Caenorhabditis elegans: one gene and its partners. The protein of the gene in region 1 interacts with the protein of each later gene in a pairwise test. Each region holds a gene or a part of one and is shown on either strand. Other genes may lie near its edges.

Region 1 (5,971 bases):
TAAAATATACAAAAAAAACCAACCGTAATTCAATGAATTATTCAAAGTTTCTTTGCACTCCTCCAACTTTGCCAAAACGTCCAGAATAGTTTCTCGGGAAGCCATTGTCTCCTAAAAAATAGGTTAAGTATTATTATGAAACTGTATATAATTCCAGTAAAATCTATGATATTTTATTTTTGAGCAATATGTAGAAAAATGCACCTCTGCTAAACTAAACATTAAACATAAACTAAACGAACATTATCATTGAATATCGAAAAAGTGTATTCAATTTTTTCAGATATTACAATTTTCAACTACAACCGGACCATGTGGAAATTTGCGCGGAAAGAAAAGGAGAATGTGTCCCGCAGGGGTAAGAGTCATTGGTTTCGTTGAAATCACGTTGAGTGGGTGTACCATCTGTTGGGGAAATTCTCTCCCCCTGGTCCGGTTCTGACATAATCTAGATTTTTCGAGAAAATCAAGTTTCAGTACATACTAAATTTAAAAAAGAAGCTAATAAATTAATGAGAAACTATGCAATCAGCTTTTTAAATAGTCTATCGAAAACGGTTTACTGGTGTTTTCTTTCTTCTGTTTTTCAATATTCTATTACATTAAATGTTCCTATAAACTAATATTACATAGACGTTTTGAAAATGGAGAAATTCGCCATACTTGACGCGCAAGGTCTCGCAGTGAATGCTCTTTCTCTCCGTCTCTTCGCCACATACTCTCTCACTGCCGCACCGCTTTTTTTTCAATAAAACAGGGTAAATTTAGTGAATTGATTTGAAACTCTATCTGTATTTAAAATAATAATAATTATTATTAAATTATTATTAAAAAAAGTGTGTCAACATCTATTTTAATTATGTTAACTACTAAACATAAATAAAATGCGTATTTTTTTGCAAGAAAGAAAAAAAGGCCGCGTAAAAAGGGAGACACAAATAGTGTTCTAACTAGATTCTCAACGCGATGCGTAGTCTAATATGAACGCAGACATACAAACAAAAACGAGAGGTGACCTCGTTTCCAATCTAATTAGCCATGCTAGCGTGTACTGAAGTGTCGAACGTCTAATTAGAAAAAAGCAATTAAGCATACGTAATGGCTTTTCTGTCTTTTTTGGAATAATTTGTAAATGGAAAAGTGAACTTAATCAATATTTAAGTTGGATTTATTATCAATAGAAAGTTTCAAAATGGAAAAGGTCTCGAAAAATCCAATTTCTAAGCGTGTGCATTTTTCTCTTTGATTAGCACCATCTGTTCTTCAATTAGACCCGTTTTTCTCTTTAACGGGAGAAATAGTAATGCACTAGGTAACTTATTGCTTTTTTTTTCTGAAAATTACTTTGAATTCAAATTTGAATTTTTAAATTTCAAATCAAACTACTGTAGCATCGAGTTTCGCGTCAGCACGAGAGTTGCGCCAGTCGCCGCGCCAAGGCGCCTAGAAAAAACGGCGCTCGCAATTTATTTTCAATTTTACACATTTTCTCTCCTAATTTATCGATTTTGCGGGATTTCGCACAGATTTTCTTTGATTTTTCAACTATTCTCATTGTCCCAGAAATATAATTGAGCATTATGAGCCACCTGCTTTCCCCAGGCACTTGCAGTATCCATGGGAACATGGCGAAAATAGGATTTACCAGAAATTTCGAAATAACTCAATTTTTCTAGTGATATTTGTCAAAATAAATGGTTTTCTAGTTTGTAAAATAAGTTTTTAACTAGATTAAGTAGAATTTGTCCTGTAATTATTGCGAAATAACTATGTTTCTTGATTTTAGGCTCTATTTTCAATAATTCCGGATTTCCTAATGTTTTTCTTCGTTTTGGAAGTAGTTTTTATTAATTAATATATTTAAATTTCAGAAAATGTCTCAATATGAGCGATTCGACTCGGTGCTGCTCTCCATGGCCCAACAGCTGAGCGGCGGAGTGCCTGAAATGCTTGATGTACTATTTGAATTTCTTTCGAGGTAAGAAATTTTTTCAAAGTGCTTAATAAATACATGTTTTGTTTCAGAAAGACGGATTTCTACAGTGGCGCTGGTGTCGATCAAGCCCGGACCCTTCTCCTCGAAAAATTCGATAAACACGGTGGAAAGGCTATGAAGGAAGCTGAAGAAGCCAAGAAACGGAAGGAAGAGCAGGAGAGGAAGCTTGCTGAACGAAGAGCTGCACAAAAAGCTAAGGAAGAGGAAGAGTTCCGAAATGCGAAAGTCGTGGAAGTCACTGATGAGGAAGCGGCCGCGTTTGAAAAGGAACAGGCTAAAAATTCTGTTGAAAATCTTGAAAAATTCGTCGATAACGAAGGAGAAACATCGAAAGACGCTGAAGTCGAAGATGAGGACAGTAAGCTCATGAAACCAAATAGTGGAAATGGTGCGGATCTTGCCAAATATCAATGGACTCAAACACTCCAAGAACTCGAGGTGAAGATTCCAATTGCTGCTGGATTTGCTATCAAATCTCGTGACGTTGTCGTCAAAATAGAGAAGACTTCAGTATCTGTCGGCCTGAAGAATCAAGCTCCGATTGTCGATGGAAAGTTGCCTCACGCCATTAAAGTAGAAAATTGCAACTGGGTAATCGAAAACGGGAAAGCGATTGTCCTAACTCTCGAGAAGATCAATGATATGGAATGGTGGAATCGATTCCTTGATTCCGATCCTCCAATCAATACTAAGGAAGTGAAGCCAGAGAACTCGAAATTGAGCGACTTGGATGGAGAGACACGTGCCATGGTCGAAAAGATGATGTATGATCAGAGGCAGAAGGAGATGGGTCTTCCAACGTCTGATGAGAAGAAAAAGCATGATATGCTGCAACAGTTCATGAAACAGCATCCTGAAATGGACTTCAGCAATGCTAAAATTGGATAATTCTGTGAATTTTGTGAGATTTGTTCCGAAAATATTATATTTATATTCGCATAAATGTACTCAGTTTGATATTAATTTTATTTCATCTTTAAACTTTTAATAATGTATTTCTCATTCCTTATATCTCTTTTAGATCCCTTAAAAATGCAGTGCTTCAACACAATTTTCAGACTCTTCACAGATATGGATGAGGACAATGAAATCGGACTTCCACAGAAAGGTATCAACCAAATTATCAAAGAAGTTGTTCCTGAAATGCGAATCGCCAACGAGTCGAGAGATATGATCAATGCTTGCTGCGTTGAGTTCGTGAAGCATATTGCGAGAGAAGCACAACGAATTGCGAGCCAGGATCAGAGAAAAACAATATATCACGAACATGTTCAGAAGGCACTGCAGAATTTAGGATTCACACCAGATTATCTCGAGGCCGCCGACAGTGTTCTCGATGCCTGCAAGGTTGAAGCCGAGAAGAAGCTGCGAAGGAAGAACTCTCGTCTTGAAAAATGTGGTATTCCAGAGGAAAAATTGTACGAAATGCAACAAGAATTAATTCAGAAGGTAATTTTTTGAGGTTTTCAAAAATAATTTTGTTTTTATAAAACAAACACTCATTTCCTCAATGTTAATATTTATTTTACAGGCACGCCAACAAGAAATTGAGCAGCAGCTTGCTCACCAACAAGCACAAGCCGCGGCGGTAGCAGCCGCAAACGCACAAATGTTTGGAGGACCATCAGAGGGCTCTTTGGCTCCAACCGACGATGACTACGACAACTAGATTGTTTTTCTTCGCTTTTTTTTTCTACGGGTTCTCATTTTATTTCTTCATTTGTGTATTTACCTTGATTCATCATCGATAATTTCTAAATCTCTTTTTAAAATTGTTGTACTATATTCCACCATTTCCTATTTTCCCCGTGAATTTTTTTACTGACCCGCTCCATATTTCAATGGCACGTCATTTAGGGCACGATTAGTTGGCGTTTTCCCCAGTTGTTCTCGGCTTCTCAGATCAGTCCTGTTTTTGCCTTGCCAGTTGTCGAGGTGCGAAAATTTTAAGCGCAAATGTCAGATTCTGAAATAGCATTTGAGAAGCTGAAAATCTCTGGGGAGAAAGAAGGTGAGCCATTCCCTTTTTCATTATCGTTTGAGTACTATAAATTATTCACAAAAAAACTGTTTCTCGCCGTTTTGCATCACTTTTTTGGTTCCACGTGCCCATTTTTATTTGCATTCATTTATTCTCTCTGTTTACTGATTTTACTAATCGAGTTCTTCCAGGTATGACTGAAACGGAGCAAACGACGGCACCCATTTATCCGCTGAAGCGTAACTGGACGTGGTGGTATTTGAACGATGAGCGCAACAAGTCTTGGGAGGATCGTCTGAAGAAGGTGTACACCTTCAACACCGTCTCGGAGTTCTGGGCTCTCTACGATGCTATCCGTCCACCAAGTGGCCTCAACGCGTTGTGCGATTACAACGTTTTCCGTGACGATATTCAGCCGATGTGGGAGGTTCCGGAAAACTCGAACGGAGGACGCTGGCTCATCGTCATTGACAAGGGAAAGACTCCCGAAATGGTCGATGCTATTTGGCTGGAGATTCTCATGGCTTTGGTCGGCGAGCAATTCGGAAAGGACATGGAGTCGATTTGTGGGTTGGTGTGCAACGTCAGAGGAAAAGGATCGAAGATCAGCGTCTGGACTAAGGATTGCAACGATGATGAAACCAACATGAGGATTGGGTATGCATGTCTATTTTTAATTCTATCTTGAATTTTGGAATTTCAGAGTTGTGCTGAAGGAGAAGCTGATGGCCGCATCCAAGGACCACTCAAAGCCACTGTTCGATGTGATCCGCTACGAAGATCATGAGAGCTGCCAGAAGAAGACCAGCTCGGTTGTGAAAGCCAAGCTTTCATTGCACTCGTCCGATGCTCCAGTCGCCGAGAAATCCGCCGTCTAAAGCAGACCATTTTGTATCTGCTCTACTTGTTTTTTAATTACACCCGTTGCTTGGCTAGTATTTCACTCGTTGTTTTGTGATTGGTTTAATAAAATTGATGAAAATTAATTGTATTATATTGCCTTGTGGTTTCCAGGCCCAATTTTGTATCTTATTGTAGTGTAGAATGTAGCCTTTAGGTCAGAGAACAAGTAGCGGGAATGATGATAAAAAAGACACCGCGAAAGTCGGCCATTCTGCTTCTTTTTCGTCTCTGCGTCTCTTCTCTACCTATCTTATCGGCCCAACAAACAACCGAAAAACTTTATTTTTGTTCAAAAGCCCCTCTCAAAATAATTATGCAGTTTTCTAAATGCCCTTTTTTTTAGGTTTTTTCACCTCTTCCTAATAATTTGTTACTACTTATAAGAACGTTTTTATTTACAGAACCACACAAATACACTGCAAAATGGCAGGAAAATGTGAGTGGGGGTCAAAGTCCATGGTCGTTGTACTAATAAGTGATCAGTGATGTTTATATTATGTCTGCAGGTGTGTTCATCGTCGGTGCCAAGCGTACAGCATTCGGAACTTTTGGTGGAAAGCTGAAAGGATTGAGTGCAACTGATTTGGGAGTCGTCGCTTCTCAAGCAGCGCTGAAGCACGCTAATGTTGGAGCAGATGCCGTCGATCATGTCATCTTTGGTAGAAAGATTTTATTTTTAGAATGATTTAAAGAAAACCTCTAATTTCAGGAAACGTGGTTGCCAGCTCTCGTGATGGAATTTACCTGAGTCGTCACATTGGACTCAAATCTGGAGTTCCACAAAACGTCGGGGCCCTCACTGTCAACCGTCTCTGTGGTTCGGGATTCCAAGCAGTCGTGAATGCAGCTCAAGCTATCAAGCTCGGCGAGTCCAACATTGTTCTTGCCGGAGGAACCGAAAACATGTCAATGGTGCCATTCGCTGTTCGAGATATTCGTTTCGGAACTGCACTTGGAAAGAAGTACGAATTCGAAGATATGCTCTGGGATTCTCTCAGCGATCCGTATGCCAAGTTAGCCATGGGACAGACTGCAGAGAAGTTGGGCGCACAATACAAAGTTACCAGACAAGAAGCCGACGAATTCGCTCT
Region 2 (6,515 bases), on another chromosome or scaffold:
CGTGGAAATCATCTTGGGGAATACTTGTGAACAACTTCACAAACGTCGTAAGCGCATCCTGAAGACAGGAATCACCATAGAGTCGGAATACTCCAAAAGGTACATAAGCTCCAATAAGCGCATTCTTGAGAATCAAAAAAATCACTCCAATATTCTTGTATCTTTCCTTGTATACTCTGTCTTTCGATACTTCTGGCAGTTGAAGAAGCCTTTCTCCGTAAATCGAAACAATTTTTGAAGTTTCTTTGAAAAGAAGTACAGCTGAGCACGAACTCATTTCGAATTTCAATCGTTGCTGTCGATTTTGAACCATTTCGGAGAGAAGTCGAAGAATTGGAGTAACGACATCAGCACATCCAGGCCATTTTTCTACCGAGAACTGCATAATATTGAACACTTCTGGGTACCTGGAAAGAAAAATAATTGAAAAATAATAAATATTTATAGGAAAAACATACATCCATTCGAATAGAATTTGGAAGATAGTTTTCGTTGTTGATGCTATTGCCACTCCTCGAAGATCTCGACACAGTCCAGTAATAATTTTCTGTAAAAAGTTTGTTTTAGTTTTGAAAACGTTCATTTTTATAACCTTTAATTGTTCTTCTTCAACTCCTTGGCAATTATTCTGGATCACAGTGCAAATTCCTTCAACTGTATCTGAAAAAAGTACATTTGAAAATCAATTGGAATTGAATCTACCTGTAAGAGGACGAAGGAATCTTTGAAGCATTTCCTCGTCGTCCGAATAATCCGTTGTTAAAAGACGCGTTAGTGCTTCGTAAAACGTCGTTCGCTGTTTCATTGTTTGATAATCAATATTTGGACCAAGAAACATGAAATGATCGGCAGTGTGATTGTTCAATAGAAGCTGAACTTCTGGTAAACGGAATAACTTTCGAACTGCAGAATATCCAAGCGATAAATCCTTGAACAAAGATAGGGAAAGATCCAAGAGATCAGAGTTGGACGGCCAGAATTTCAGATTTGTGAGAATCTTTTGTACAATAACACCTAGCATGTCAGACTCTTCCGTAATACGCAGTTCTGCTTCAAGTGTGTCGTAGACTGCACTGGCTCGAGTGATTTGATCCATGATATACGCACGACGGAATTGCTCAAGCATGTGAATAAATGAAACTTCCAGTCGAAGATTTCCTTTCAGTGGAACTGTATTATTTGACAACTGAAGCCGATTATCATTGAATCTCATAACTGTTATACATCGGGCAATGAGTTCTCCGTCCATTTTATCGTGAACATCACTGCTTGTTGCTGTCGTCTTTCCGAACACAGCAGTTCCGATCAATGTAATCAACCAAACGAGACGACCTTCGGCAATCGCTGTATTGGCATCCTGTAAATACAAATTATAAGTTTCAAAAAAAAACAACTAAGTGTCTTACATTTTCAGATCCATTCATCCAGATGTTGGCATTTTGATCAAAGTGTTGAGTGAGAAGTTTACATGTGTTTTCATATTCGCATCTACATATAATCGCAAGATGTTCCATAACTTGAAGGGTTGCTCCTTGATCATCTAATGGATTCTCAGCTCCTTCTCTGACAATGCTCTCAACGTGTTGTAATCGACTCTCGACGAATGCTGTCATGATTTCTGGACAATAAACGTTGAGAAGATGCTCATCATTATTTCGAACATATGGAACAGACGTCACCATTCTCTGCCAGAATGTCATAAGAAAATATGTACTGTTGGCTGAGAACTCCATCATTCGTAGGCTTTGTACAGTGAATTCCGCGAGTAACCTTAGCATGTGACTGTAGCAGGGAACAGCGATGAGCTCGCACAGCTGATAATTTGTTTTCAGACGAGCAATCAAACGGCAAAACTCGTGGAATGCGGCCTAAATCAGGTATATAAATATGTTTGCCTTTAATTTTTCATTATTCTTACCTGGTCACTAAGCTTCCCAGGGTTCATAATTACACTGACAACTCCTTCAACAAGTTTTTGAACGTAAGCCTGTCGCTCTGTTCCATTGAAAAGCGTTCTTCGAATACTTGCCAATTGAGCTATTATTGTCATCACTTTTTCACTTGATTCTTGTGGAAGCACATTTAAAAGTTTGAACATAAGCTGTACAATTTTTCCATCAGTAAAACTTGCTCTCCATGCTGTTGGGATTTGCACATTACAGTTGTCTTCACTTGTTTCGTCTGTCAAACTTCCTATATAATCAAAAAGTAGACATTGGAGATTCAAGTTGAGAACCGCGTGAAGAAGACCCAATTGGCGATCGTTCAGATTTCTGTCCACATTATCGTTCAAAACATTCAGAGATACCGAGAAAATCTCATATAAAAAATCGTCCCTGAACTGCGAAAGATTCTTGCGATGTTTGTTAACTGAATCCATTCCCGAAGCTGAATTCATGTCAGCAACGAGTAAGGTTAACAGTTGCACGGCCAGCATACTTTCCTCGATATTATCCATGTTGATTGTTTTGACAAGGCTATCAACCGGATCACGAAATGGATATTCAATTTTTGTGTCTTCTGTTTGATTTTCTGTGGGATTTTGATACGTCCATTCTTGTTTCGTGAGTCTTGCAAAAAGTTGGCAAAGTGATGTGACGAGATATGGAGGAAATTGAGGTGCACCTTGACCTAGCATTTCCAATAAATATTTTGCAAGCTCGAGCTTCTGAACAGAAGTGATGCTAGTTTTTCCGCCGAGAAGTTTCATTAGTGTGGTGCTTGCTACCATTGGTCCGTATGGGTACTGAAAATCATTATGTAAATTGTTTAACACTTTTATTATTTCGACTTACATCTCCTCGTGCAAAGAGAAGCATGCATCTTTGAAGGCATTCGGGTGACTCTGACAGTTCCGCAAGGTTACTCTCGGCTCGGTGTCGGGCTTGCGGATCGACACTCTCATATAGATCTTTGCATAGACTGTTTAGTACCTAAAATAAGATTAGAATGCACATTAAGAATTTTGAAAATGCTAACCGGTAATTCATCCATTTTTGAAGACTTCGAATCCGCTGTTCAGCGATTCACTCCTAAAATATCCAATTCAGAAGTAATTATAGCTTGAGAAAGAGGAGAAAAATGTTTTGAAAAGCAAAAAGAATGTTTAAAACGGATAAAATTAATTCGGCGTCTTCCCACCGTTAATTGTTTCGAAAAACTGCAAACTTTGGTGATGATTTGAGTTTCTGAAAGACGAAACATCTTGTCCTGGTGAAGTACACGGCGGATGGCCGATAAAAAAGTTAGGCCATCCTTTCTCATCCTACTCTACATCCCACAGGCTCTCTCGCCACAATTGGCATCTTTTGGCAGTTTCCACTATTTTCAGAATTCGTTATCTGTTTTCTGATAACAAAAACAAGAAAAACAGAATCTTTACGACTACTTCTTTATTTATCCGCTCTAACCACTCATTCTACGCAGATTTTGAATGGCAGAGCGGTGAGTTTTGAAATTTAATCTGTAGTACAACATGCAGTTGGAAATGCCAAAAATATCAATAATTTCAGAGATAAAGATGAAATCTTTAGTTTAAAAAGTTATCAACGTCCAATTGTCTATCATTCTGAATATAATGTAACTGCATTTGGAATCGAACATTTACATCCATTTGATTCTTCGAAATGGAGAAGAGTCATTACACATTTGAAAGAAATGAATCTGATCACTGATGAAACACTCGTTGAGCCAAATCTACCGACATTTGAAGAACTCACTAGAGTACATGATAGAAAGTAGGCACATGAAAGTGTTGTGAATGTGATTGAATCGTGGAATTGGTTTATGAAAAAATCATGTTTGTATGGCCCCATACTTAAATTGAAAGAAAATAATTAAGCTCATAACGTTTATAGTTGACATTCTAAAAAAAAGTTAGATGAGGCGTTCAACAATTTCAACTAATAAAAAAAATTTATTCATATTATTTTAGATATCTGAAAAGTGTTCGAAATCCTATTAAAGCAGCACAAATCGTCGAGATTCCATTTGTCGGTTGCCTTCCACCGTGCATTATTGAAAGCAAGTTATTGCATCCACTACGGTATCATTCCTAGTAATTGTTGTATTCATTTATTTGTGTTTTCCAGTTTACAAGCCGGTGGAACAGTTTTAGCTGCCAATTTGGCTCTAAAACATGGTTGGGCGATCAACGTGGGTGGTGGTTTCCATCATGCTTCTCGTATGTTTTTGTTATTCCGCAAGAAAAATAGACGCTATGGGATTGTACAGCAGCCTATAATTTCAGATTCGGGCGGAGGTGGATTCTGTTTTTACGCTGATATCACCATGGCAATTTTCGATTTGTTTGACAAAAAGGCAATTGCCAACGCGATTGTTGTAGATTTAGATGCTCATCAGGTACTGGAAAAAACATTTGAAAGAATATAAAATACCGTATATTTTCTATTGATGCGTGCGGCACCTTCACTGCTCAACTTTGACAGCATATAACTCAAAGGAACACGTGTAGTCAGAAAATCCCATTCCGCTTTGATCTTCGAAAAATGCGGGAGTTGAGACGCAGACATCTCATTTGATTTGGAATGGTTAAGAACGTGCTGACGTCACAATTTTTCTGGGAAAAAGTCCCGCATGTTTTGTAGATCAAACCGCAATGAGACAGTCTGACATCACATGAAGGAAGTATTTTGCCTAAAATCATAGATGGCCGATATCTGAGCTTTCAAAGTTAGAATTGTCCTCAAATTTTAGCTACCTTACAGTTACGTTAAGAATTCTATAGACTACGGTATCATTTTGGAAAACCATTTGGAACGTGAATGAAATATGTCTAGCCCGTAAAGATATTTCTCAAATATTAGATATTAATTCGAAATATTAATCACAATATTAATTGTTTAAAAAAATTATTAAAATTTAAGAATCCAATTTTTTGCTTGAATCATACTTTAAGGGAAATGGCCATGCACGAGACTTTGCTGACAATCCGAATGTGTTTGTATTTGATGTTTTCAATCCATATGTCTATCCACATGATCGTGAAGCTCGTCAATTTATTAACAGAGCGGTTCATGTAAATGGTCATACGACTGATACTTCCTACCTCTCGTAAGTATTCATAGCGGCTTTCTGCTTTCACTGACCGACTTTATTTAGCGAATTACGCAAACAACTGGCACAGTGTTTAATTGATAGAGAGAAAACTACTCCTCCTGGTTTCGATTTCATTATGTTCAACGCTGGCACAGACTGTCTACTTGGTGATCCTCTGGGAGCAATGAAATTGAGTCCACAGGTGTGTGAAAGCAAGGAATATTGTTATACGAGTTTGGTATTTGGTGTATAGTCTATTTTGAAATAAGATGTTGCATATTTTTTTGAAAATCAAATTTTCAGTGCATAATTGCTCGAGACGAAGTTGTGTTCAATCTAGCAAAATCAAAAGGAATTCCAATTTGCATGGTAACCAGTGGAGGGTATCAGAAGGACAACGCGCTTCTCATTGCAAAATCAATTGAAAATCTCCAGTCAAAGAATCTCATCAGTATCAAATAAAAAAGTTATATCAGCATATCTTTTCCTTATAAATTATTTTTTATTAAACTATTTTTTATTGTTTAATGGCAGGGGAAACTAAATAGATAGAAGGATCAAGTTCAAAATTTCATTTTAAAATCGAATGGATGATTTTGAAACATTCTATATCAACCCGATTCCATTAAAAATAAAACAATCCAAAATAATACAAAGTACTCTGAATATGAACTTTTCCTAAAACTTTCAATTTTTATGAATCCTCGACTCCTCCCAAATTTTCACTTTATGTGGATGTCACTAGGTCATCATCGGGTAAAGGGTCACACAGAGAGACACAGTCATTTCTCGCCTATATCTTTTATTTGATTCTTCTGTCGATTGCGACATGATTTGCTTCCGTACAGCTTTCATTTTAATTCTTGGAGTAGTGATAGGCACGACAGCAAAACGACACAATGTTCGAAGGCATGTCAATGGTAAATGGACTGATAAACATTGTGAAGAACCACCTAGTTTGGTTAGTTTTTGTTTTTTTAATTGAGAGTAAATAGTTTCACTAGCATGTTCTGGATATTGTTAGATATTTTTACATAGATTTATTCAATAAGTGTGTAAATATGCGTGAAAAATGGATGAAAGTATAACCCAAGTGTAAGTTTAGGAAAATCTCGAAAATCGGCCAAAAAGTCATATAGATATTCATGTTTATCCCCCATCAGTCTAAAATGACCAAATATAAAAATTGAAGTTTACAGAAAATTGTTAAACTTTAAAAAAAATTCAATTAACTTCTTGGTAAATTGCCAAATTTTCAACACAAACAAGAACTGGACTATTTGAGAAATTCGGAACAGTGCTTTCAACCTATACAATGTTTAAGTAAAATAAATTTAAACGTGATTAAAATAATCCAATATTATTTTTCGGTGAACTTCCAAAATTATGAAAAATGAAATCTGAGTAATTGCTACCCTTCAATTGTAATTTTAAACATTTTTTTAAAAAATGGTTTC
Region 3 (9,785 bases), on another chromosome or scaffold:
TTTAATTATAGATTTTCCAGAAAAAAAAACCGATGCTTTTGGTTAAAGTCTTGTTGCAGTTACAAGCCGTTGAGCGCACTAAGCTCGGAACAAAAAAATAGTTTTATTTTCTCAAACGTTAAATTACAGAAGTTCTCAAATGGGTGCAAGACTGACAGAGAATATGATTTATTTTTAATTTTTTTCAATTTTTAGAAGTAGTCAATAGAAGAGCAATATGAGAAAATTTTGGGATTGATCAGCAACTGAAGTATATGGAGCAGCACAGAAGCACAGTTGCATCACTGCTCTGGCCGTTGCCCTGAACCACAAAAACGGCGAGAAGGGAAAATACACTCAAAACCTCTGTAGTTTGACGGTTATTATTGGAGAGATATATGTACCTGTTTTTCTTTTCCTAATTGTATACTTATTTTTAACATGATTTTAACTCAGGTTTTGATTTTAAGTCAGGTTTCTAAACAGAATATATTTTCAATCGTTTCTCTAGAAATCAAATTGTATGATTCACCAACTCTTTTATTTACATGTCACCGGGAAAATTGACAACTGCCGCCGCAGTTGCTTCAACCTCAACATTTTGTGTGATAACATTGAAAACATCTTTTCGTCATTGTCTGATTTTTCTTCACCGAACTCCTCGTGTTTCTTTTTTTCCTAACCCAATCTCATCTTTCAGAAAATGTTTCGTTTCCTACTGTCTTTCTTGACTCTCTTCATGGTTTTGCTCGTTGGGATCTCTCTGTCCGCACCAATTCCAAATATTGATAACGCTGAAGATTTTCGCTACCCACAAGACCCAGAGGATTTCAGTAATTTCAAAATAATTGCATACAAAATCAAAAACTCCTATTTTCAGATAATATGCCAATGGCCACAGCACGTCCATCTGTCAACCCATGCAACTAAACATTTTCGATTTCTTTTTTGTATGTAAGAATAAATTTTTTTTATAATTAGTAAGTTGGACTTTATTAAACAGAATTGATCATATCGAAAAATGTTGCATAATAAAAAATCAAAACAAGATCAATAAAACGATAAGTGATTCAAAATGTGCAAGAATTGTATAATACAAAAGAAAGCTGTGAAAATTGAGGATCGAAAGTTGAAAAAAAGAAAAGTTTCAGGACACCCATTTAAACTCGTCAAATATCTTCACCAAGTCAGCAATGTCCCGCCTTTGAAATGCTGTTGCTTTGACTTTTCTGGAAAATTAAATATTAGATTATTACGTGGTGTCAGGCTGTTTCATTGCGGTTTTATCTACAAAAATGCGGGAATTTCTCTTCCAGAAAAATGTAACGTCAGCACACGTATAGCCATGCGAAATCAGCTGAAAAATCTCCGTCTCTTCTCTCGCATTTCCCGAAGAAACCAAAATGCGACACTTTGACACCAATTAAACTATTTTTATCTTGCTATTCGTGTGTTTTTTACTTTTTTAACCAAAATAAAAGTGGTCTACATGTTTGAACATATATACTTAAAATGCACTCAAATAAACAAATTTCGTACGAAAAATTCTCTAATTTGGGAGATTTTTCCGTGACGCAACGGTCACAAATTTGACTTTTTTGAGCTTTTGTTTTTTAATTGCATGTTTTGGTAGATAATCTCAAGATAGTTAACCAAAAATCACCAAAAAATGGCCTTCCATCGGGTTTGAATATACGTTATTCAACGAAAAAACGTTGGATAAACGACCGATAAATGCAATAAAAAAATGATAATTCGAAAAAAAAAATACAAAAAAATTTTCTATGATGAGTAAACAATACATCCCTTCTTCCGCATTTATCAGTTATCACTCTTCACAAAATGCAACTCACCCTTTAACTATGCAATTAAGGCAGAATGGATTTTGCTTATTGTCAAGTGTGATCATATTGAACAGAACTTCCCGGCATTTTTGGATAGAGCATCGCTCAACAGGGATGATCGATTTCTCGTTTTTTGCTGATCTGATGAGCATATTTTCCTGAATGGCGAAATCGAACTCAAACTGGCTTTTTGCCAAACTTCTGTAATTTTGAATTAATTAGTTATCTAGTATTATGATTCTGTGACGAAACCGTACTTTAGCATTATAGCCTTTCGAGCCAGGAAAATATTCTCATCCTCTGCCTCCACTCCATCTTCAGCCATTTTCCAGACAATTGGCTCAATAGGCATGAGAGTAGTTGCTTTACTCGAGATGTTGTGATCGTGAATGACCATTGCAGCAGCCAGTTGATTAAAAGTTGGTTGTGCAACATTCCAGGAGACGTTTATTGCAAAATCATTAGATTGCACCCAATGAAATGTTCCAATACCGACGTACACCATGTCTCCAGGCTTTTGTAGAAACTTTTGCGATGGTATCTTTTCATTTCTTAATTCCTGCTCACTTGGCCAGTACCCGCTTTTATAAACATTAAGTCGATGCTTTTTGATCAGCACCTCCATTCTGCCACTGTACTCCATGGGCACTCCGTACCAAACACAATCACCTGGTCCATGATTAATGTTAATGGACCCGAGAGCTTGGTTCTCCAGGTGAGCTGTGGTTCTTGCTCCGGGAGGCTTGCAATAAACTTGAGGTTTGTTCAGACCTGCAAGTGACTCTTGAGCAAAGTTGAGAAGATTCCCGGCTCCGTCGGGTCTCAAACAATCAGGCAATTTTTTGATCTCCTGAAAATAATGATTATTTATCTACCGTTAACTTTAAACGACATACATCGAGCTGTTCCTTGAATCGCTGATCATCCAGATCAATATTAGTTCCAAATGCCAACACTGTCGCATTTTCATGGACTGTAAGTTTGTGTTCAGGACTGAGTGGGATCGTATTTTCCTTGATTTGCTTCTTCATGTCATCCATTACTTCCGAAAATGCGGAAGGATTGCGTAGGATAGCTTGGTAAGCTGAAAAATGAAAGGTGAACAAATTTAATGATTTTTATAAACTTTGGAAGTTCTCTAGTTTTTATTAAAACTTATCAAAAAAGTTCCCAAGTGGGTTGATTAAGAGTCAAAAATTGGCGAGAACTCAGTTCTGATTACCCATAATTTAAAGGTCGACAATGAAGTAAGTGCTTTTTTTTATACGAATTTCAAAATCTAAATATTTTTCAAATATTTTCATTGGGATGCCATTGAGGTTCAAATGGTTGCGACGTTGCTTTATTTTGCTCAAAACTCCTGGAAATCTTTTGAAAAGTTTTCGCTAATTTGGTTTTCAAAGCTGACTGGAATTTTAGACCAATCTTTAAAAATTTTGAAATTGGGTTTTATAAGATACTTATTTTCTTATAAAACTCAAATATCTTTCGCTAAATAAGAATTAAAAAAAAACAGTTCAAAAACGTACCTGACCTTCCTATATCCTTAAGGCTTTCATAATTCTTCGCAAAATCTCTCAACTGAGTAACTCCTTCAAAATCGAAGACAGCCCAGGCATTTCCCAATCTCTGCACGGTATTTTTGTCATTCATGTAGAAATTGGTTGCTGATGACTGGGGCATCTGTCGACGAATTTTCAATGGGTAATCGGGGTAGAGAGGTGCCAATGTGGAGATGTCAAACGTTTGGCGATCCATCCCAAATGCTTCTTCGATTCCTCGAAAGATGCACATGGTTGTGGTATTGACGATATTTTTAATAAAATTTGATGTTTCATCGCTGTTGTTCTCAATATTATAGATAGGAACAGGTAACCTGTATTGATCTTTATTTGTGTATTCTTCACTTGTGTTTTCTTCAATCTTTCCATCAGTGTTGAATTTTGTTGTTTCATCAAATAGTTCAGAACAGCCAGATGTTTCGTATACGAGATTTTTGCCAGATTTGATCCATTTGCTTGCTTTCGTAATAACTTGTTTTCCTTTTGATTTTGAGACGTCCATAAAAGTCGCTCCGGTTAGAAACAGTTTCGGGAGTTTATATAATGAAGGCAGATCACTGGGAAGGTTGGATATTGGTGGAATGGCTAGCGATCGGAGTTTGTTTGTCACCAAGCCCAGATTCTCGTTGTCTCTGACAACATGAACCGAAACATCCGTCGAGCACGAGGGCTCCTGCAAATATTTTAAAGTTTTGTTAAAAGCATATACATAATTTGTAATTTGCTTTGACAACGTCCTACAACGTCCTGTCTTAGACAAAAAATTTTGACCTGAAAGTTTGAGTTTTTCGCTGAAAACAATTATCAATTATGCGAGCTCAAAATGTCTGCTATAAAATAGTACGTTCAACTTTTTTCCGATCGCACCGATCGCATTTTATACATAGTTTTAAAAAACTCCCTATTAAGTTCTGTGTTAAAATTTGAACTTTTCAAATTGGTCTTTGTTTTATGTTTACAATGCATATGTAAAAATTTATGATATCAACGAGCATACTTGGTAGTGTGTATAATAGTTTAATTCATTTATTTATTTTTCTAACATTTAGAAAATTATTAAAAAGTTATTAAATTGTTCCTATCTTTAATGCGATTCCAAAAGAATTAGGAAATTTCTGGAAAAAAAATAATTTTTTGATTATAACTTAAGTTTGACATAGCGTTTGACATTTAAACGTTATATTTTAAAATTGAGCCACATTTCGTTTATATTGAAATTTCATGTTCATTATCAGTAGGGTCAGTAGGTTTACAACACTATTAAAGTGCTATTTCTTTTTTTTTTTAATATTAATTGAAACAACATACCGAAAAGTGTTCCAACTGTGCATCGATGGTTTTTTTCGCTTCTTCCGACTCTAGAATCGTACCAGCTGCGTCTCGTCGAGCAAACTGAAGAAATGCGTTCGCGTTCCAGTCACTACTAACTTGATGTATTTGAAATTGATTCAACTTATTAGATGGTCTTCCTCTCGCCGATTTTCTTTTCTTACTCTTTGTTTCAATTAGTGTTTCTGGCTTTCTTTTCCTTGAAGGTCCAACTAAAAATTCTCCCTGTTCATGAGACTCTGATTTTCTCAATTTTGAGTTGTTCCCACTAATTGGTGGATAACTGTTGCCATGCTGATCCACTTGATCTCTTCCGTCAATTTCAATTCTTTCACGAAAGTCAGCATCATTGCTCTGTGTTGGCAAAATCTGTTCATTAGTTGAACCAGAATCATTTGTGCTGACAATCAAAGAATCTGTTCCGCTTTCTTCTTGAATTTTTGCAGTTTGTTCAATTGTTGTGCAGTCGTCTGAAAATGAAAACGATTAATTCAAAAAACATTTTGTTTAGAAAAAAATTAGCCCAATATTTAAAATCTCTGCAAACACGCAACACAGTTTTATAATTTTCAGTTCCCATCCGAAAAAGTTACTAAAAAAGTTGCATGAAGAAAATGTTTGAATGAGCACATTTTTCAAAGAAATCTTAAGCTTACTGGTAATAAAATTTGCTGCTGGAACTTGATTGTCTGGATCGATGAATTGCTCTGTCTCATCCGAGCAGTCTTCAGCAATTTCATAATTTCCTGATGATATTGTTGTTCCTGAAGGTTCAGTTGACGACTCTCCCAGTTTATGAGACTCGGATTCTAACAGTTTTGAATTGTTTCCGTTAAATGGTTGATCATTATCGAAGCACTGATCCACTCGATTTCTTTCATCAATCTCGGTTTTATCTTGAAGCTCGCCATGATTACTTTGTGTTGAATAAACTTGTTCATTAATTGGTTCAGAATCATTTGTGCTGACAATTGGAGAATCTACTAGCTTTTGAGGAAATTTAAAGAAATGCCGCATGTTGCGACCCCTACAATATTTTAATAAAAATAATTTAAACAAAATTAGAACATAAAAAATGTCGAAAAAATTGTTTTTTTGGTCGACTTCGAAAATTATGAGTGGCAAAAACTGAGTAATTGCCACTTTTTGACAGTAAATAATAAATTTTCAAAAATTTTTGAAAAGTTTTATCATGATATTTGGTCATTTTGTGACCAAACGAGTGGTTTTTAACAATTTCTCCACTGGCAGTACTCCACCTTTAAATGTATATAAAGAATAATATAATGCTTCGCTTGAAAAAAAAACTAGTCATATGAAAATCAATTTCAAATATAGATTTTTTACATTGAAAAAAAGGATTTTTTTAATTTCTCGATATGAAAATTCCGTCTCCTGTCAGTTTACAAACCTTTTTTATTGTATGATCGTGTTATTAACACAAAATTAAAATGTTCACCTGTGAAAAAATCTGGCTTCAATGTTGTCGGAACTGGATATTGTGCATCAACGAGTTGTTCTGTTTTTTCGAATTGGTCTTGTGAACCTGAACCTTGGCCACCGCTATCCATCTTTTGAAAAAATCCTGAAAAAATTATTGCTCGTGATCAAAATATTCAAAATTAATATTGCTAGTGGAAAAAAGTGTGAACTCAAATTTTAAAGAGGATTTTTCTTCTATTAATCCTCGAAATTAACAAAAAACACACACACACTAAAAACTGTACATCTATCAATAATTGCAAAAATTGCATGCATTTCCTAATAAAAATCTAAAATAATCCCAAAACTGCAATACAATAAAATTTAAAGACTTGGATATAAATCTCACTTTTTGTAATTTTAACAATGCATACCCTATTATTCTAAAACAACTAAAGTTAAGTTCTGAATATTTCATTTCATGTTAAAATTAATTGAATGAATTAGTTTTGTCTAAAATTGATGAAAAACTATATGTTAATTTTGAAAAACAAACTAAAAAACATCGAGAAGTGGTGCAAAACGTATGTTGGAGCCAATCCTCGCAAAAAGGTCGAGAACAGGCAGAGAAGACTGCGCAGAACAAGTTACATCATCACTCAATCTGCCCCGTTTCCCATATTTTTGTAGGAGACTGTCGGGTCACATATGACGCAAGATGTGCCTTCCCACGTTATGGAGTGCTCAAAGAGAACAGGTGTCGTGGGGGGGGGGGGGGGGGGGTGTCTGCTCGATTGTAACAAAATAGCCGGGAGGTCTAATTTTTGATAAAACATAACAGAAGGTGGCCACCAAATTATTTATAGGAATGTGCTTGTATGCTTAATTTTTTCAAACTAGCATGTTTCATTGAACATATCACTGGCAAAGTTTGCGTCGAAAAAATTTTCCAATTTCAAACGGTTACTTATATATTATTACTTATATTTTATATACCAGAATTCAAAATACAACACAAACCAACTACATATATTCGGTCACCGGAAATCGTATACTTATTAACTAAAATGAATTTGAAAGTTCTGCTGCGCTTTGTTGATTAATCTGCTTTTCCTTGAGAGATTATCTTTTCATCTTTTTCTCGTCACTAGGAGAGTGCAGACAAACTATGAGTAGCTAGGAAACTTGTCCCAACTTAACACGTAACAAGAGTACCGAACAGCAACGGATTAGAGGAGCACGTTTTGAAGGTCTTACATACAGTGCCGGCCATAATTCTATCCAATTTTCGATTTTTGATAAATTTACAAGTTTTTCAAACGAGCACAACTTAAAAACTGGACATGCTATCGAAAAAAATTCAACTCAAGAAATTTTGTCCATAATTACGTCTACTTGTATTCAGTTGTTTAAGTTGTTTACCAGTGTCATGACAAGAAATACAGCGGCCGACATCTCGTGAGCCCGTTTTTGACAACTTTTACTGATTTGCCGGTATCTCGAAAACTTTTTTTTCTGTAAGTGTTGGCAAAGTAAAATAATCTTCATATTACTTGCCATCATGTGTGTCTTCTCACGTTGTTCTGAAAAATTCAGCAAAAAAGTTATGATAGATTAAACTTGAATAGTGTACGACTACAACTAGAGCATTTCTCGCAAGTGAAGAATTTTTTTTCCCTGAATTTTGATATCGTGTTTAAATAAAGTTTAATTGTGATTTTACATTTGTAATTATTAAAAAATGCTCGAAAAAAATATATTCGAAGTAAGTAACCTGATTTTTGGTTGTACAGCATGAGCAGTGCCAAGTGAGGGACTAGTTTGCACTTCCATAACTTTTTTGCTGAATTTTTCAAAACAAAGTGAGTAGGCACAAATGATGGCAAGTAGTATGAAGATTATTTTTCTTCAAAAACATTTCCAGAAAAAAATTAGTTTTCGAGATACGGCCGAATCAGTAAAAGTTGTCAAAAACGGGCTCACGAGATGTCGGCCGCTGTATTTCTTGTCATGACACTGGTAAGCAACTTAAACAGTTAAATACAAGTAGACGTAATTATGGACAATATTTTATTAGTTGAACTTTTTTTGATAATTTATAGGATATCTAAAAATGGGAAAAGCGAAAGTGAGGAATACGAAAAAAAAACAGATGGAAGAGGAAAGAAATACATGGATTTATTACTGAGGCTTAACATTTGACCTTATAATTAGAAACAAAAAATTATCAAAAGTTATTCAAGTTCAGAAAATTTTAATCATCATTCAAGCCCAACAGTCTTTCGCCATTTGGGAATCCCCAGATTTGAAGAGACGAAACTCGGCTAACTTCATCAATGATGCACTTGAACACTTCGTCGCTGTTGTTCTTTCCAGCAACTGCCAGAGTATCCATTTTGATTTTCAAATGATTCACAAGGTTGATGATATCAAGAATCACAGCGTCGGGCTGCTTATCAAAGGTGAGTTCCATCGAGATCATCTTGAACGTCTTTGAAAAGTATTTAATCAAATACTTCACTGTTTCGACTCGAGTTCCATAGGTGTTTTTGGCGCAGCATGATGGGAAAATGGGGTCAATTTTCAATAAATTCATTGGCAGTCTCGTTGAGCTCCTAGTTCTATACACCCTCTTTGGAGGCATATCATCCAGTTTTATGTTCACAATCTCGTTGGTTGCTTCTCCGTCATATCCGATTTTGATGATGAACGTTTCTCCGAGATTGACAGTCAATTGAACAAGATGTCGACGCGAGTGCTCCAATACCCATCTCTTTGCTTTTTGAGATAGTAACGCCAGTTTCACGCTAAAAATGAACCGTATTTGAATTGAATTTAAGCTTGCGAAGGCAGGACATATTGAGAGAGCGACCTGGGTAGCTTGCTCCCAAGTCGCTTTCAGATTTATGGTGAAGTGCGATATGCGATTTAATTTAAAAACTTGGTTGTATTCTCTATATTGAGAGTTTTCAATCAAATTAATGTACTAGTTGTTCAGAGTTCAAGATAAACTTCTAGGAAATCAAACAAACAACTACTTAAAATGTTATATTATTATTGTAAAAATACGATCGCACAAACTTCTCATAATGTATATTTGATCTACCTGCTGAACTTGACCCCGCCCCCAATCTTGTTGCCGTTGTTATTTTGTTGTGGCTGTCTTGTCAAAGGAAGGGAATGAGCCTAGTCAACAAGGTAGATCAAAAATAAATTATGAGAACATTGTGCGATCGTATTTGTTCGATAATAAACACTTACAGCTCGAACATTGGCAATTGTTTCACAATATCACCGAGTGGCAATGAAGGCAACTCTTCAAGCAGAAACGGTTTCTCGGTTTTCTTCGATGCAACTTTTGTCAAACCCTTCTTCATTCTGAAAATAAATAGGTAAATTATGACATTAGAAGACAGTTAGTGAGAAATTAAAGAAAATGGTAGTTAATACAAGGCAACATTACATACAGAGTTCAAAAAATAACATTTAGTTGAGTATGTTATAAAGGAAAATAGAGAAACGTTAAAATTGGTGAAAGGCAGTGAAAGTTGGTGAGATTTGAAAATGAAGACTTAAAAAATTTTTAAAAATTGGTTTTTGGTTTGAATTTACTTCTTTTAATTTTTTGGGATTTCACTTATAAAGCTGA

What was found. The genes of interacting proteins can lie anywhere in the genome.
Region 2: the proteins of dro-1 (region 1) and hda-11 interact in a two-hybrid assay, tested with the Caenorhabditis elegans proteins (one large-scale study listed by BioGRID).
Region 3: the proteins of dro-1 (region 1) and jmjd-3.2 interact in a two-hybrid assay, tested with the Caenorhabditis elegans proteins (one large-scale study listed by BioGRID).

The regions. Positions count from the first base shown.
Region 1 is NC_003281.10:13,339,656-13,345,626, forward strand, and holds dro-1 (Protein Dr1), read left to right. Parts: upstream 1-3,028; coding exon 3,029-3,445; intron 3,446-3,527; coding exon 3,528-3,665; 3' UTR 3,666-3,952; coding exon of another isoform or gene 3,953-4,007; 3' UTR 4,008-4,057; downstream 4,058-5,971. Other genes in the region: F53A2.3 (Phosphoprotein), read right to left, coding at 24-105; nud-1 (Nuclear migration protein nudC), read left to right, coding at 1,875-1,978, 2,026-2,884; ife-1 (eIF-4F 25 kDa subunit), read left to right, coding at 3,953-4,007, 4,169-4,634, 4,681-4,855; acaa-2 (3-ketoacyl-CoA thiolase, mitochondrial), read left to right, coding at 5,304-5,316, 5,387-5,539, 5,590-5,971.
Region 2 is NC_003283.11:10,522,877-10,529,391, forward strand, and holds hda-11 (Histone deacetylase 11), read left to right. Parts: upstream 1-3,307; 5' UTR 3,308-3,433; coding exon 3,434-3,444; intron 3,445-3,512; coding exon 3,513-3,737; intron 3,738-3,934; coding exon 3,935-4,045; intron 4,046-4,091; coding exon 4,092-4,183; intron 4,184-4,249; coding exon 4,250-4,362; intron 4,363-4,918; coding exon 4,919-5,073; intron 5,074-5,121; coding exon 5,122-5,260; intron 5,261-5,361; coding exon 5,362-5,520; 3' UTR 5,521-5,568; downstream 5,569-6,515. Other genes in the region: xpo-7 (Exportin-7), read right to left, coding at 2-407, 459-547, 593-660, 703-1,357, 1,407-1,868, 1,919-2,746, 2,796-2,933, 2,980-2,994; F25D1.3 (Interleukin-17), read left to right, coding at 5,888-6,019.
Region 3 is NC_003284.9:14,444,730-14,454,514, reverse strand, and holds jmjd-3.2 (JmjC domain-containing protein), read right to left. Parts: upstream 6,306-9,785; 5' UTR 6,286-6,305; coding exon 6,174-6,285; intron 5,611-6,173; coding exon 5,371-5,610; intron 5,185-5,370; coding exon 4,694-5,184; intron 4,059-4,693; coding exon 3,353-4,058; intron 2,908-3,352; coding exon 2,720-2,907; intron 2,674-2,719; coding exon 2,081-2,673; intron 2,025-2,080; coding exon 1,833-2,024; intron 1,209-1,832; coding exon 1,127-1,208; 3' UTR 948-1,126; downstream 1-947. Other genes in the region: F23D12.7 (Neuropeptide-Like Protein), read left to right, coding at 683-812, 860-909; F23D12.4 (F-box domain-containing protein), read right to left, coding at 8,391-8,943, 9,398-9,513.